2 linked regions of the Mytilus edulis genome follow. The protein of the gene in region 1 purifies or fractionates together with the protein of each later gene. This does not show direct contact. Links are inferred from orthologs where the notes say so. Each region holds a gene or a part of one and is shown in the gene's direction. Other genes may lie near its edges.

What was found.
Region 2: the proteins of myb-related protein A-like (region 1) and protein lin-52 homolog purify together in Drosophila melanogaster (affinity purification with western blotting; 3 studies listed by BioGRID, with this or other methods). This does not show direct contact. The link is inferred for Mytilus edulis from reciprocal best matches to the Drosophila melanogaster genes Myb and lin-52.

The regions. Positions count from the first base shown.
Region 1 is NC_092350.1:20,930,349-20,938,337, forward strand, and holds the start of myb-related protein A-like, read left to right. Parts: upstream 1-4,920; 5' UTR 4,921-4,998; coding exon 4,999-5,045; intron 5,046-7,989. Other genes in the region: uncharacterized protein, read right to left, coding at 66-275, 789-866, 2,023-2,067. UniProt on the Drosophila melanogaster protein: DNA-binding protein that specifically recognizes the sequence 5'-YAAC[GT]G-3'. Component of the DREAM complex, a multiprotein complex that can both act as a transcription activator or repressor depending on the context.
Region 2 is NC_092346.1:42,566,584-42,574,199, forward strand, and holds the start of protein lin-52 homolog, read left to right. Parts: upstream 1-4,608; 5' UTR 4,609-4,638; coding exon 4,639-4,654; intron 4,655-7,616. Other genes in the region: probable methylmalonate-semialdehyde/malonate-semialdehyde dehydrogenase [acylating], mitochondrial, read left to right, coding at 311-409, 1,023-1,130.

The DNA.
Region 1 (7,989 bases):
GCCAGAGCCTGATCATGCTGATATTTAAATATAAATATACTGCAGTAAAAAGTTGTAATCTTTACCTGTCTAATGTATTCTTTATGTCTGTTGGTAAAGTGTAGATCTAAGTAATACTCAGCGATGAACCCTTTACCACAGATATTACAATACCACTTATTGGGTGGCTCATTATATTTTTGGTCCTCTTGGATGGCATAAATATCTCTCTCTTTGTTTAGGATACATGTATCTGGAATCTCTGCTTGGACAGATTTGTACAATGGATATATTTTCTAAAATACAATCAACATATTGATAAAACTCTACTGAAATTGCAATTCAAATATCATAAACTCAATGCATTACTTCATATTCAACATGTTTAAGAGTTGTCTTTGTCAATCAATAATTTTAGAAAGGAAAATACAACTATAATAGTCAATAAAACTGAAATGAATAATTCCTTTCGTTTTTACTTTAGAATTTTTTCAAATTTATTTCTCAATCTTATTTTATCTGATTGTCATTTAAATAAGAAGTGTACATGTATATCACACGTCCACTCCTGTCTTGAGCAGATGTCATTCACAGCAATATCTCTAGACGCAAATCATTGGTATTTTTAAAAAGCAATAATTCAGTAAAAATTAATAATAATCAGGATAATGTTGGTCCTTACATGAGATGCTGTTCAGAAATTTAATTAAAATAAAATAAAATAAAATGAAATTTATAATTATAATCATTCATATGTATATATTTAGATGCCAGAACATTTTTTTTCAAATGTCTACCTATATACTTACTTCAGTTATTACACGTCTAACAACCCTGGATCTCTCTCTAGAACATCCATCTATATAACCTATCACAGTAAACAGGGTCTAAAATTACAAAAATAAATTGAGTTTCAGTCTTCAAAACTATTTTTTGTCCTCTCATTATTTTAAGCTGTTCCTTGAACAAACTCAGGTTAATTTTGAATAGGAAATGTTACCATGTGCAAAATATATCAATCAACAAGAATATGTGGCTTGTCAGTGGTTGGTTTGGGGTTGTTTGGGGTGGTTGTCACAGATGTTTCTTGATTCTTGTTTTCTAAATAGATTTTCTTCTTTTTCATATATAGTCTGTTGACTCTCCAGTTGGAATTGTTTTGCATTAGTCATTTTGGGACCCTTTATCATGTTTATAGCTTACTGTTGGGTTTGAGCAAAGGCTACATGTTGAGAGCCTTTCTTTGATCTTTAATTGTTATCTTTTTATACATTGTGACTTACAGAGTTGTCTCAATGTAACTCATACCACATCTTCTTATTTATACTGTATTATTTAGGGACACCATGCCCTAGTCCAAATAGTGATGATGTCTTGAATGGCTTTTTTTTTATTGTTTTCTGTGACGCCTTCCTACGATGTATTCTAGATACTTTGGTCACACCCTTATTATTATGTATGCATGTAAATTTAAAATATCATAATAAATAAGTGTACAAGTGTACAGAGTTTTAATTTCATGTGACGAGAACTTCATGGTAAACTTTACTGCACAGGAACCAGTCTCTAGCTATATGTTTAACACTGTTGGGTTCAATTTTCAAACTTAATATCCAGTTATATTCATCTGCATAACAATACACTACAGTGGGACAGAGATATAATGGTGAAGACCTAAATTATGGAACTAAAGTGTTAAAACTTAAGTTGTAAAGTAAATCAGAGACAGAGGCAGATCTATCATTTAGGGTTTAAAAAAAAAGGGGGGGTGCCCAGTACCACTCATGGAACAACTTATATTGTTAATGCATAGACCTTTTACATGTTTTAATACAAGCGTTGACTAATATGTAACCCTTTCAAAATCCTGGATCCACATAAAATTTGTGTTTACAAAGACAAGAATTGAAGTAGTATGGCTCTTGGCTGTGGTAACCAGTCACCAGTGGTTCACTCGAGAGACATGGCAAGTCTGATTTGTGCTGTAAACAAAATTTAACATTAAGATTTCCCTATGAGTATGATAGTGAAAGAAAATCTTACAACATAAAACACCAGATACTCAGGTGATGTGTATTCCAACTTCATATTCACTCATTCTTCATGCTAGATTGAATAGATACAAAGCCTTCCGAAAGGTAGATTTACTGTATCTAAAAAATTATAAACATATGGTAACCAGTTGCTAGGCCATGCATATTGATGATACTGTTTATATGCATCGAATGCTTATAAGATCTTATAAATATAGTTTAAACAGTTAACTAGAGACATGTATGATCTACAAAAATGAAAAAAAGGATTTAGAATGCATTGGAAGGTTAATTACATTCTGAAAGTTCAACGAATAGTTAATTTTTATGATTTACATTTTGCTTTAAAACTTTTTTCGTGAAGTAGAAAATATAGTACCATTTTTCAACATATTATTTAATCTATATTGGGAGGAACAAATTTACATTTAATATGTCAACTCTTAACTTATTTTCCAATTCTAAAATAAAGACAGACAGACAGACAGAATATTTTATTATAGTGTCACATACCAATACTGAACAATATCATACATAATAATATAAGTATAAAAATACAAATAAGAATTTAAATCGAAGTTAAAATATCGGTATCCAGTCATGACTGACTTATGAGACACTTTTGCTTTAAAACTTATTCTAACATTCATTTACAAATGAATAAATAAAACTTTTACATCACATTTAAAGAAAAAAAACATTCCGTTATACACAATATTTTCTGCGGTTAAACATAAAATATAAAGATTTTGCTAAAAAGGGTTGTTCTAAAATAAAACAGTCATCTTTGTAAGGTGTATGGTGAGGGCCCTCATGGGGTTTTTGATTATGTGATTACTTGGCCGTTTGTTTAATGATTATTTGATTATTAAGCCAAATATTTCATGATTATTTGATTACCTAGGACTGTATTTTTAGTTTATGATTATTTGATTACTAAAGATAAGCAAATATTTAATGATTATGTGATTATATTGGCAAAAAAATGGTGATTATGTGATTACTAGGACCCCCCCATGAGGGGCCTCTATGGTATTATTTTCACAATAAAAGACTCTTTATACAATATGACAAGCCGTTGTGGAATTTATTCTCTATTTATTAAAAAAATAAATCGTTTCAATTTTGTTTATAGAAGAAATATCATTTGTTAATAGAAAAATTATTTTTCAATATACTAAAAAATATTTTTTCAATGAATAGTCCTTTTTTATATTATAAATAAGTTTGTATTTTTTTATTGATTAGAATCAGAGACATATTTATATGTCTCTGTTAGAATTAATATTATGAATTCAATCTTTAATTTTTAAATTCTATGGCAAGCCGTTTTGGAATTGATTACCTATTTATTCAATTAATAAATCATTTATTAGTAATACTTCATTCTTACTATACAAATCATCCCCAAGGGTGACTGGGGTATAGAAATATGGTCGCTTGGTCTTCTCCCGACCGGCAGTAAAACGCTTGCCGAAGAGGGGCGTCCGTTTGGCTGTGCGGGATGTATCAAGTTCGCAGTCACGTCCGGTCAGAAGGGGGACGTTAAATCCGATGCCTCGTGTAAAGAGAGTGCCACGCTCTTTGCACGTTAAGAACCCTTGCAACAACTCTTTGAGGGGTCCGTAGGTGGCCTGTTGCAAGGCAAAATTTCTATCCCTATCCAATATACCCTCCTTTTCCGGTGGCATTCCAAATTTCTCCAACCATCATCACAGATGGCCTCTATTGCATCAACCTACCTATTGTATTTATTGTGAACTTGTTCTCGTCCTGAATATGATACGAAATATATGTTTTCATTATTGACAACAGAGACATATAATGCAGACTGTACAATATATGATTACAATATTACTAATCTATTGTGTGAATACATGGCAACTCGGACAAAATTGCGATAATGTAGGACAGAAAGTCACAGGACAAAAAGTCATGGACAAAAAGTCACAAAACAAAAACAAAAACACAATTTTGTTTGAGATTATTATTCTTTGTTCAAAAACACTTATTTCAAAAATATTTTTTGGGTATTTTTCTTAAAAGTTTTATATATATAAAGCAACTATGTAATTAAAATTTATTCAATAAATATATAATGATAAAATAGTTGTTATGAAAACAAAATGTCAAAGTGGCTTGGTACCTAAATGGCTTCATTTTCTCAATATTCACATCCTTTGCTTGATTAAAATTTAATACGTTTTCATTTATCGAGGTTTATGAGAAATTTCCTTAACTTAAAAATAAAATATATGGGGGGGGGGGGTGTATGTAATTAAATGAAAATATTCAAAATATATCTAAAAAATTGTCAAAAAAATATTTGTGACTTTTTGTTCTATCAAGTTTGTGACTTTCTGTCCGTTTTCCTGATCCGATAGTAGTCTCATGAGAAATCGAAGACAGAGATAAGGTTGTCCTCATATCTAAAAATGAAGGTTCCTATTTTATTTTTAGAAATATTCATTGTCCAATCAAATTTCAGATATCATATCTGGATATTCCGACCGCGCAATTTAACCGCCATTGATGTCATTTCTTCAGCTGTTTTTTTTCCGTTTTTGTTTAGTTCTTGTGTTCTAGAAAGCATTTATTAACACTGTTTTTGTGACAACCAAGAATGGCAGTTCCGATGAATTTTTGGATGTTCAATCGGCATGCTTGAATGGCTGGAAGACAGGTAATTTCAACAAATTCAAACAGAAATATTTCATGTTGTCATTTTGCTTATGTTGTTTTCTCTTTCTTCCTTTTTTGCAACACATACATTTAATACATAATGATAGAACAAAAGAATGCAATTGGCATTGTACGCAAATCGGGGAAACAATGATAGAATAATGCGTCAACAGAAACAATAATAGAACAAAACATTTGACAGGTGCGACGTTGATTGATTACGTCACAATGTAAACAATCGCACGTGCCATTCACGTGGATTCTGTCAAAGATTTCCAGCGTTTAATATTTTAAGAGATTTATAATGAACTTTGTGTATAGATTGTCTCACTACCAAGGCATTCAAATATGGTAAATTATCACATTTATGATGCAAATTTCGTGGAAAACAGATGGAGAAAATATTGCTTTAAAATTTTTATTTAAAGGAAATATGCAGACTCATCTTTTATTCCAAGAGTTTCAGACTGTTTCATGTTTTCTTAGAAAAAATATGTTAGCCTTCAAACTGTTATCAACAAAAAGACTTTTAATTACAACATTACCACATTTTCTGTAATTAAATAAATTGTTTTTTTATAAATGAAAACTCACAGAAATGGGTGTTTGTCCTAAACTGACTATTTTTTAAAATGGTCAGTTTGTCATGAATGCATGTACAGTCTGAGCTATGAGACAAAAGCGAGTCCTCACTCAAAAATAGTCTCTTCTTCTTTAAGGTCAACAAGGCTTCAATACTGAAGAATACATGTTGTTGCGCATGCATGATTGACAAAAATTTATACAAAATTTATAAAAATATTTTATAACAATTGGAGTGTTTGTATTTACAGATTGTGATTAAAAATATATGTACATGTTTTGTTTGAATTTGTTTATTTAAAGCTAGAGAGAACCGCTGGTGTTAGTCGATCTCTAAAGCTGCCAACAGTGGTGGTTTCAATTACAGTTTGTGGTAGTAAATTCCATTGAATAATTGTTCGCAGGAAGTATGACCATTTGTATGTGTCCTTGGAAGTTTGGATGTGTCTATATGTCTTATGATTTTGTCTTGTTCTGCTGTCTGTTTGTTCACAAATATGCGATGGAATGGCTACTAGACAATGTATTACTTTATAAAATAAAATAAGTCTGGTTTTTAAGCGTCTCTCAGCTAGTGGTGGCCATTTCAACTGATTTAGCATGTTTGTGACACTGCTCGTGTAATCGTAGTTGTTGTGTACATAACGACTGTACCTTTTCTAATTGTATCTGTTGTTCTTTCATATGGGGGTCCCAGACACTACAACTATATTCCAGTTTGGGTCTTACTAGTCCTATCATTTCAACCAAAATCGATATTTTTTCAAAAAAATATTACCAAGTAACTGTATGAGCAATTTTTATAAAATAGATAACATAAGATGTAAAAATGTCTGAAATTTTATTGTTTATTTAGTCATAATTTTCTTGAGTTTTGTTTTCTTCATCTGATGTATTATACACAAATGCAAATTTTTACGATTTTAATTTGGTTAGAATTATAGCAAACTTTTCAAGAAATATCTTTCTTTGTGTTCATCTAGTCAGAAAATTAAAATGAGCATGAATAATATTATAACCAAATAAACAATAAAACTTCAGATATTTCTACATCTTTTGGTATCTATATTTAGAAAATAGCTCATATAGCATGTATAGTTACTTGGTAATAGTTTTTTGAAAAATATCGATTTTAGTTGAAATGATAGGTCTTTTTTTGACTGGGAACTCACTTTTGTCCAATGACTGTAGATGTGAACAAACATAAACATTTTTTTATTTTATCTCAATGCCCATTATTTATTTCCAAATTACTTGGAAATCTGTGGGATATACCTATTTTCAAAGTTTTGTCAATTTATGATGCCCCTTATGATGTCTACTTTGGGAAATCAATAATTTTGTGCTCTTTATATCCTTGTGTATTGTATTTTCACCTATTAAAATTTTGGTGTCTTCTGGCTATTCCTACATTTTGTATTTTACTATTCTGGCTATTCCTACATGGCGGATTAGTGGTAGAACAATACATGTTGTTATTGCAAGATATGTTGGTTTAGTCATTAGTGTCTAATCGGGTGAAAGGTAAATTTACCTGTTGAAATTAAATTTAAAAAAAAATTTAAATGTAAAATAATGGGATTTTTTTTGTTTGAAAACATGCATTAAGTTATAAAATTAATTATTTTAATCTTATGGAATTTGTAGAAAAAAAACTATTTAGAAGAAAAGGAAGTAAAAGCATTGGAAAAGAAAAGAAAAAGAAGTAAAAACATTTAAAAGTCTGTAAAAAACGTATTTAAAAAGAAAATTAATAGATACCCAAACTTTCAACTTCAGCCTCAAAAAATTTATTAATTTCATTATTTTAACAAATTATGATTTTTAAAAATGAACATAATATCAAAAGTAATGCTTAAAGTAATAAATCATTTTAGATAAGTGTACATTTTATATTGGCCTAATAGATTAAGTCAAGCCAATTAACTTTGAACTCTGATAAGCTTTTATTCGAGATCTATGTAACCAATTTAACATCCTACTTCAACCAGCCAAGATATTCCTCGACTACAAAATAGCCATCAGAAATGCAGCCACTTCAATCTTCCCAGGAATCAGCATAAAAGGGTGCCTTTTTCACTACACTCAGTGTATCTGGCGAAATGCACAGAAGCATGGTGTGCAGAGTGAATACAGTGAAAAGAGAGACATTCACCAACTTAATGTTCGTAGAGCTGCAGTTTAACCACCCAATACAATTGTAGATATTTGGTTTAATGCACTGGAATACATCGATGATTCAGATACTACTACACCAACACTTAACTTTTCTGACTATGTAACCAGCTACTGGGTAGAGAACAACCAAAGTCTGTGGAATCACTATGCAACAGAAGGTCATAGAACAACAAACCATTTAGAGGGTTAAATTTGCATAGTAAACTAAAAAAATAACTAAAAAAATAATTAGTAAATGCACCTCACCTAAACATCATCAGTATGATCAGGTTGTTGAGACAAGAAGAAGCCTTCAGTGCTCTCACATTGATATAGTACAGAGCTGGTGGGAAATGTATTCCAAGAAAGAGGAAGTAAAGGGAAATAGATGACAGACTCCAAACACTGAAAACAAGGTTACAGAATGATGAGCTTACTCCAGTCGAGTATGGAGATGTTGCTTCTCATCTCCTGCACATTGGTTAAGACTTTGTATTCTCTTATATGTTCAATTTATGAATTATGTGTAATGTATTACTGTGTGAGTGCTATGAAT
Region 2 (7,616 bases), on another chromosome or scaffold:
AAAAAAATGAACACCTCTGCTGTGATGCCCTATTTAGTGAAAATATTGAAGAACTTAGAAACAAATATTTGCAATTAAGATAATTTATCATAAATGATTCATCACTATTGCTTTGTTATATATTTTGTGTATATTTTACTGTAACAATACTAATTATCTAGCATATTACAATAAACTGGTATGCTGTCCAAAATTGATAATCTATTTCTCAACAGTAAAGAAGACTAAGAAAGACATAAGGTTTCCTATATATAATTCAACTTGGTAATTTTATGCTCTGTCCTTTATTTTAATATCTTTTTATAAACAGGTTGGAGTGAATGTACCTATCCCAGTGCCTTTACCTATGTTCTCCTTCACTGGTTCTAGAGGATCATTCAAGGGTGACCAAAACTTCTATGGAAAAGCTGTAAGTATTATACATATCTCATTTATAGCAATAACTATTAATGACTCTTATTGGTTTGGAATCAGTTACCATCATGAATATTGATAGTAACAAATACAGTATTGTGTAATGATCTTTGCATAATATTTATGGGTAGGAGGATCATTTACCTTCACTTTTGAATCAAACCACAAAATGTTTTAAAATTTGAAATTTACATTTGTTTTTGAATTTGAAAAAAAAAAGAAATCTTTAGCAAGCTTCAATAGTTATTTCCTTTCTCTGAAAAAAGCAATTTTGCCCAAATCTAGAATGTTGTGTGTATATTTCGACGATGAGTGAACAAAACAGAAATTTAAATATTTTTTTTTAATCAGATCAAACAGAACAAGAGAGTTTACAAATTTCTTCTTAGAACAAGAATACTTTGAAATGCAGAAAATCATAAAATAGGAAAATGTTGTATGCATATAATTGAAATGTAAAATCAGAACAAAATTTTTATATTGAAAAAAAAAACTGGCTAATTTTTATCCAAATAATTTTCATGTAACTGCTTATAGCATTGTTCACTTACAATGCCTTTTGTTTGTATAATAAAGTTATAGTAAAACACATAACATATCTTTTACAGGGAGTAAACTTTTACACACAGTTAAAAACAGTCACACAGATGTGGAGATCAGATGATGCAGATTTATCGTCCAAAGCTAGTCCATACGCCATGCCAATCATGAAATAAACAAACAAACATTGCATAATATTTAATTTGGGAATTTGGTAAACTGTTATAATCAGATATGCATAGATGTGGCATTGATGAATTAGAAAATTTAAGTTGATGGTAGTATTTTCAGACTTGCTCACTTGAACAAAATTTCTTGTTTTTGAAGTGCTATTAATATATACATTTTTATATGTATTTTATTGAGATTTATACAAGTGATAAGCATTTGCATTTTGTATATTTATCAGATTATACAGAATTGTTATGGAATTTATATGATACTTTTAAATCATTTATTTTATAAAATGATGAACGAAATATTTATACACATTCACATTTGTAAATAAACCACTTATAAAGAATGATATCATGTCTCTTTTTCATTTTCTAAGATGCTGGAGTACTGATTAATTATATAGTTTTATTACTCAAAAAAGTCATACACTATGATGAACCATATTTTATCATAAATATAAAACGCCATGAATATGTCAAACTCTGATCTTCTCTGATGTGAAATAAGGAAAACTGTGAAATTAAATTACTTCTCAGTATACTGGAAAGGGGATATATAGCCTTCAATTGAGAATGGAAATAAGGAATGTGTCAAAGAGACAACAACCCTACCAAAGAGCAGAAACAGCCAAAGGCCACCATTGGATCTACAATACAGCAAGAAATTCCTGCACCCAGAGGCAGGCTTCAGCTGGCCCTTTAAACAACAATATGTACTAGTACTAGTGAAATGGATGTCACATTAAACTCTGAAACATATAAATCAACTAAAAAAACAAACCAGACAAGACTAAGGCTCCTGACTTGGAACGGGTGCAAAAATGCAAAAAAAAATCATATTGGAGAATTTTACTGTGTGACACATTTACAGATATCTCACTTTTTACTTCCTGTTTGGCCTACACATGTATGTTTTTCCATTGACAATGGTTGATGCATGTATATGAAGTTTTCATCACATAATTTCAAACAACTACAAACCTGTGCTTCTTGGTAATTTGTTCACCAAGCTTCATATTGGTAGGCTGTAATGTGTCATTATGTGTGACTCACTTATACATCTGCAGATATGAATAAGGGGAGATGTTCAAGTACAAAATGTATATATCAGACAACAATCCAATTAAAAAAAAGACATTTAGAGAGTAACAAATTGTCTTCAACATTAAAAGGTGTCTACAATACTTCAAGCCATAAACCATCCAACATGTGAATAAATATGACTAACACTCTAAGACCTGACATCAATACCCAATTCTCCAAATAGAAAAAAAGTATTAGTATATGATATACTTCTACTGACAAGGTTCCTGACTTGGGACAGGCACATACAAATGTAGGTTCTTGGCATGGGTGCATATTTAAAAAGAAATACAAACTGTAAATCTGTGTTTAATTCTTAAATCGTTGTAAGTGCTACTTGATAATGAAGTATACATGTAATTTTATTATTGCACCATATGGGATTATAGAGAGGATGCATATGCCTGCCAAATGACTTGATTTCAGCAGTAATGGTCCAGGGTATTTCCACTTGTCTTAAATTTCTATCAAACAAACTGAAATTTCAGTCTTATTTTAGTTATACATGTATATTAAGTCATGTAGTTCAGATCATGTCTGAAATACAGCCCTTTTTTATGCCCCATTTATGGGCATTATGTTTTCTGGTCTATGCGTCTGTTCGTTTGTTCGTTAATTCGTTCCTTCGTCTGTCCCGCTTCAAATTATAGTTTTTGGTCAAGGTAGATTTTGATGAAGATGAAGTCCAATCAACTTGAAACTTGGTACACAGGTTCCCTATGATATGATCTTTCTAATTTTAATGCCAAATTAAGAGTTTTTACCTCATTTTCACGGTCCACTGAACATAGAAAATGAGTTTGGATGGGGCATCCATGTACTTTGGACACATTCTTGTTTCATTGAGAGTTAGTTTAATTAAACTGTTCTTTGTTTTAAATGATGGGTTAACAGGAGTTTAATAGTAAGACAATATTTTATGGAAAGGAGATAACTTACTGACTAGCTCATTTGGATGTAAAAGGAATCAAATCTTTAAGAAGACACCTAAAGACAACAAAGTTTTCATACCTCTGATTGCAATCACACGAACAAGAACAGTGAACAGCAATTTAGATATACATGGATGGATGTTGATCAGATAATTTAAATGACCATTATAAGTTTTACAGAATACCAAAGATATACCAGTCACCAGATTTTAGCTTTAAAGGAACATAATACCCTTAAAATATTTTGCACTACATTTTGTGGTGGCCACTTTTATTGATGGAGGGAGCTGGAGTGCCTAGTAAATAATGATCCTTTTGTGATTATTGGTGAAATGAAATAAGATTTGGGCAAGAACATTGCCAATTTCATAACAAATGTTTGGCTTTCAAATTTGCATCCATTGATGCCACCCAGCATCTCTGAAAAATTAACACTCAAGTATTGCTGCAAATATGAAGTTTTCACAAAAGGCCTAAATTATGATGAATTGTTCAAATATCTCCTCTTTTTGAACAACTGGGTCAATTTGAACCAATATCTAACCTGAATTAAGTAATGTGTCAAGTTACTTACGTTGGTAGATATAATTTTAAATTACCATTACTCTTGTCTGATGTAAATTCTAATAAAGAAATGATACCAAATATAAATACAAATACAAAAATTAAATAAACAACATATACAGAGACATATATACCAGTACATTGGTAGTTCACACATAATATTTTTAAAGTTGTATCATTATTAAAGATTTCACAAGATAAAATTTTCTTATACTTTGCCAAACCTTGAATTTATCATATGATTTTGCAAAATATAATAAAATTTTGAGTCACTGTGCTATTTTTGAAACTACAAGAAGGATTTTTCATGAAATAAATCTATTAGAAAGAATAAAGAAATGAAATATGAAAAGATATGCTTTTTAAAATGGTTTTAGAAAATAAAAAGAATAAATGGTGTCACCAAACTTGTGTTCTTAATAGTGCTAAAATAAAGAAAAAAAATATTTTCATTCCTACATTGTATATCAAAATTTTACTACAAGAGTGATCTCCACTTATATTGTAACCGGAGAGCATGTACTCTACAAATATGTTCTAAGGGAAGCAATCCTGTCACAATATGACAAAGTTGAAAAGTAGAATCTAACAAAAAACAAATTTTCAGTATTTGTAAAAACAAACTTAATTAATACAACAAATCACTTATTTATCTTTATTCAATTGAACTGTCTCAACATTTGCAGATTTTATCATTATCCAATAAAGAATTTCTTGTAAGTTAGATTACATGGCTGTATTTTAATCCTGTGTGTAAGGTGTAATGACAAATTTCATTTAATAATAAGGGATTTCATAGATTTAATTTTAGATAGGATTGTATGTGATTTATCGACCGTTGTCAGTTATTTTATTTTATTGGTTTTAGTCTAGGTTAGTTTACAAATCCGTCACCGATTTTGACTCTAATATTACTATTTTCTGCAAAAATGACAACAAATGCGGGTAAATTGAAAGTCAAAAACAATACATTTGTCATAATGAATACATGTTAACATTATCCATTTAAGGAAAATATTATATGAATCATTACTGCATTATAAATCTTTATATCTGTTCTACACAAAACTCTCACAGCGCCCATAAACATAAGTCTTAGACTTATAAGAGCTTGTCTTCAGGGAAAACGGTACTATTTATTCTGCCATAGGCGACAATATTAACATTTTCTAAATTTACAACTTTTTAAGATAAAAACTTGGATAAAACAGTTATATGTTGTGTTAGTACTTTATTATTGTGTTTTAAAAATTAAAGCCAAATAGTATCATGACCAACTTCCAACGGAGCTTGTTTATGTTATCCATGCCCACCGTCATTTTGCACCAAATTTATGAAATTTTGCAAGTCTTTTCAAATAATTCTCTAGAAAATATTTCAATAGGTTTCAAAATTTATGTTGTAAATATACACACTGCAGTTATTCATAGATAAATAAAAAATATATTGTACCCTTACATCCAATCACAGCGCTGCTAATTTGACTTCCTTCACCTGCCTTGGGTACACAAAAGGCCAACCTAATGCTGGGAAAATTAAATACTACCGTTTTCCCTATACTGTGACATAAAGATATAAAGAATTCTTATGACATTATGATTGCAATACTGGGCTATTGTGAAAACCTTGGCTATAATAAATACTTGTATGTTCCCAGTACTTAAAGAAACATAGATCATTTTATGTCCCCACCCCCACATGCTGGTTTGCCTCATTTTCTACTTCTTTCAGAAAAGCCTAAATAAACAACCTGTATCCAATCATATCTTATCTTATTCAAACAGAATGATAAATAGTTCCATTTAAACAGATAAAATGGACAGTTCCATTCAATTTGTATTCATTTTATCAAAAATTTACAACAAATGCACAAATTCAAGATTTTTCATACTAATCTCCATTCCATGCTTTAGTATATGCCATATTGTGGTTAAAAATTTCAGAGCTTGTTATAAAATCTACTATTCTGTCTTGAGATGATGAAAACAAAGATATTAGACACTTTAAACATTAAATATGCAAAATACTCAGCTGTAAAGTTGCATTTGTTGCCTGTATTAATCAATGAAAAAGCTGAATTATATCCCTTGGGAGTATTAATTTCCACCAAAAGTCCATTCAAACAGTAGGAAATGAAAAATTATTAATGTCTGATATAATAAAAGAAAGAAACTACAAAATGAAGCACTTTTGAAATATTTGCTGCATGAATTATCAAGAATGTGAACAATTCTTTACACAGGAGAGCATAAATTCTATGTAAATTTAGCCTCAAGTGGGCCTCTTTTTTTCTTAGATGAACAATTCTAACACTGAAAATGCTTCCAATGTGACCAAATATTGCCTAATTCCATAAACAGTACAAACTAAACCAGACAATTTCCCATTTTAATAGATAATGTTTACAGAAATACCCAAGTGATACATTTAGGGAATTACGCAGCAAAAAAGGCAAACATTTCAGTAAAAAATATTTGTCGCGACTTGAATTCTGGTGTTTCCAATTGAAAAAATCATTGCGAAAGGTGAAATCAAATACAAAAGAACTATAATATGGTGCATTTTACACAATATAGTTAGTATTGACATCCTAGAATAAAGTTTTATATCATTACCAATCAATTTGACCTATCGTGATGACTCAGCACTTTTCTCAACACAGTATTGTTCTCAGTGAAAAATTTCTATTCTTTGGGATAAAAATCAAATGTACTAATCAAAAGCTTCAAAATAGTATAAAAGAATTGAAGTCTTAGTGACTTTGATTTCCCTTGCTATCTTCAGTATAGGGAAAACGGTACTATTTATTCTGCCATAGGCGACAATATTAACATTTTCTAAATTTACAACTTTTTAAGATAAAAACTTGGATAAAACAGTTATATGTTGTGTTAGTACTTTATTATTGTGTTTTAAAAATTAAAGCCAAATAGTATCATGACCAACTTCCAACGGAGCTTGTTTATGTTATCCATGCCCACCGTCATTTTGCACCAAATTTATGAAATTTTGCAAGTCTTTTCAAATAATTCTCTAGAAAATATTTCAATAGGTTTCAAAATTTATGTTGTAAATATACACACTGCAGTTATTCATAGATAAATAAAAAATATATTGTACCCTTACATCCAATCACAGCGCTGCTAATTTGACTTCCTTCACCTGCCTTGGGTACACAAAAGGCCAACCTAATGCTGGGAAAATTAAATACTACCGTTTTCCCTTCAGCTGTTACCAACACAGGAGTTTGAAATCCTATCAATAAGGGGGTAAAAATATACCAAAGTCGACTATCACAGTAGAGCTTCTCTCGAATTTACCCCTCGACTTTGGTATATTTTTACCCCCTTATTGATAGGATTTCAAACTCCTGTGTTCCCAATCAGTTTTTGCAGTTCACGCCAAACTTCTTCTTCTTCCTTTATAGAACAGTCCATGTGGGAACAACAAATTATATGCGGGGAAGTGCCAAATAACTAAAGTGAATAGTAGTCCGAGATTAATCTGACGTCCAACAACTGTTTTGTCTGACAAGCTGGGGCCGTTCACATTGGACGACAGAGTAATCTCGGACTAAGTGAAAAGGTGCTTTTTAAAATATAGTCTGATATTACACTGTCCAGACAAGCTGGGGTCCAACAGAGTAATCTCGGACAACTTAAAACAATGTTTAAACAAGGTTGAACATCTATCCAAGCTGAACAACTTGCAAACCCCTTGTAAATGATTAAAGGGCTGTGCAGCTTCTAGTTGTTGTTGCAGTCCATTCCAGATTCTGATGGTGTCTGGGAAAAAATAGTATTGATATTATACTTGCATTGAGTTTTGGCAAAAGGAATAAGGACTCTTTATTTATGTCCTTGCCATGTTGATTTTACAGGCTGTAAATTTCTATATGGATGGTATG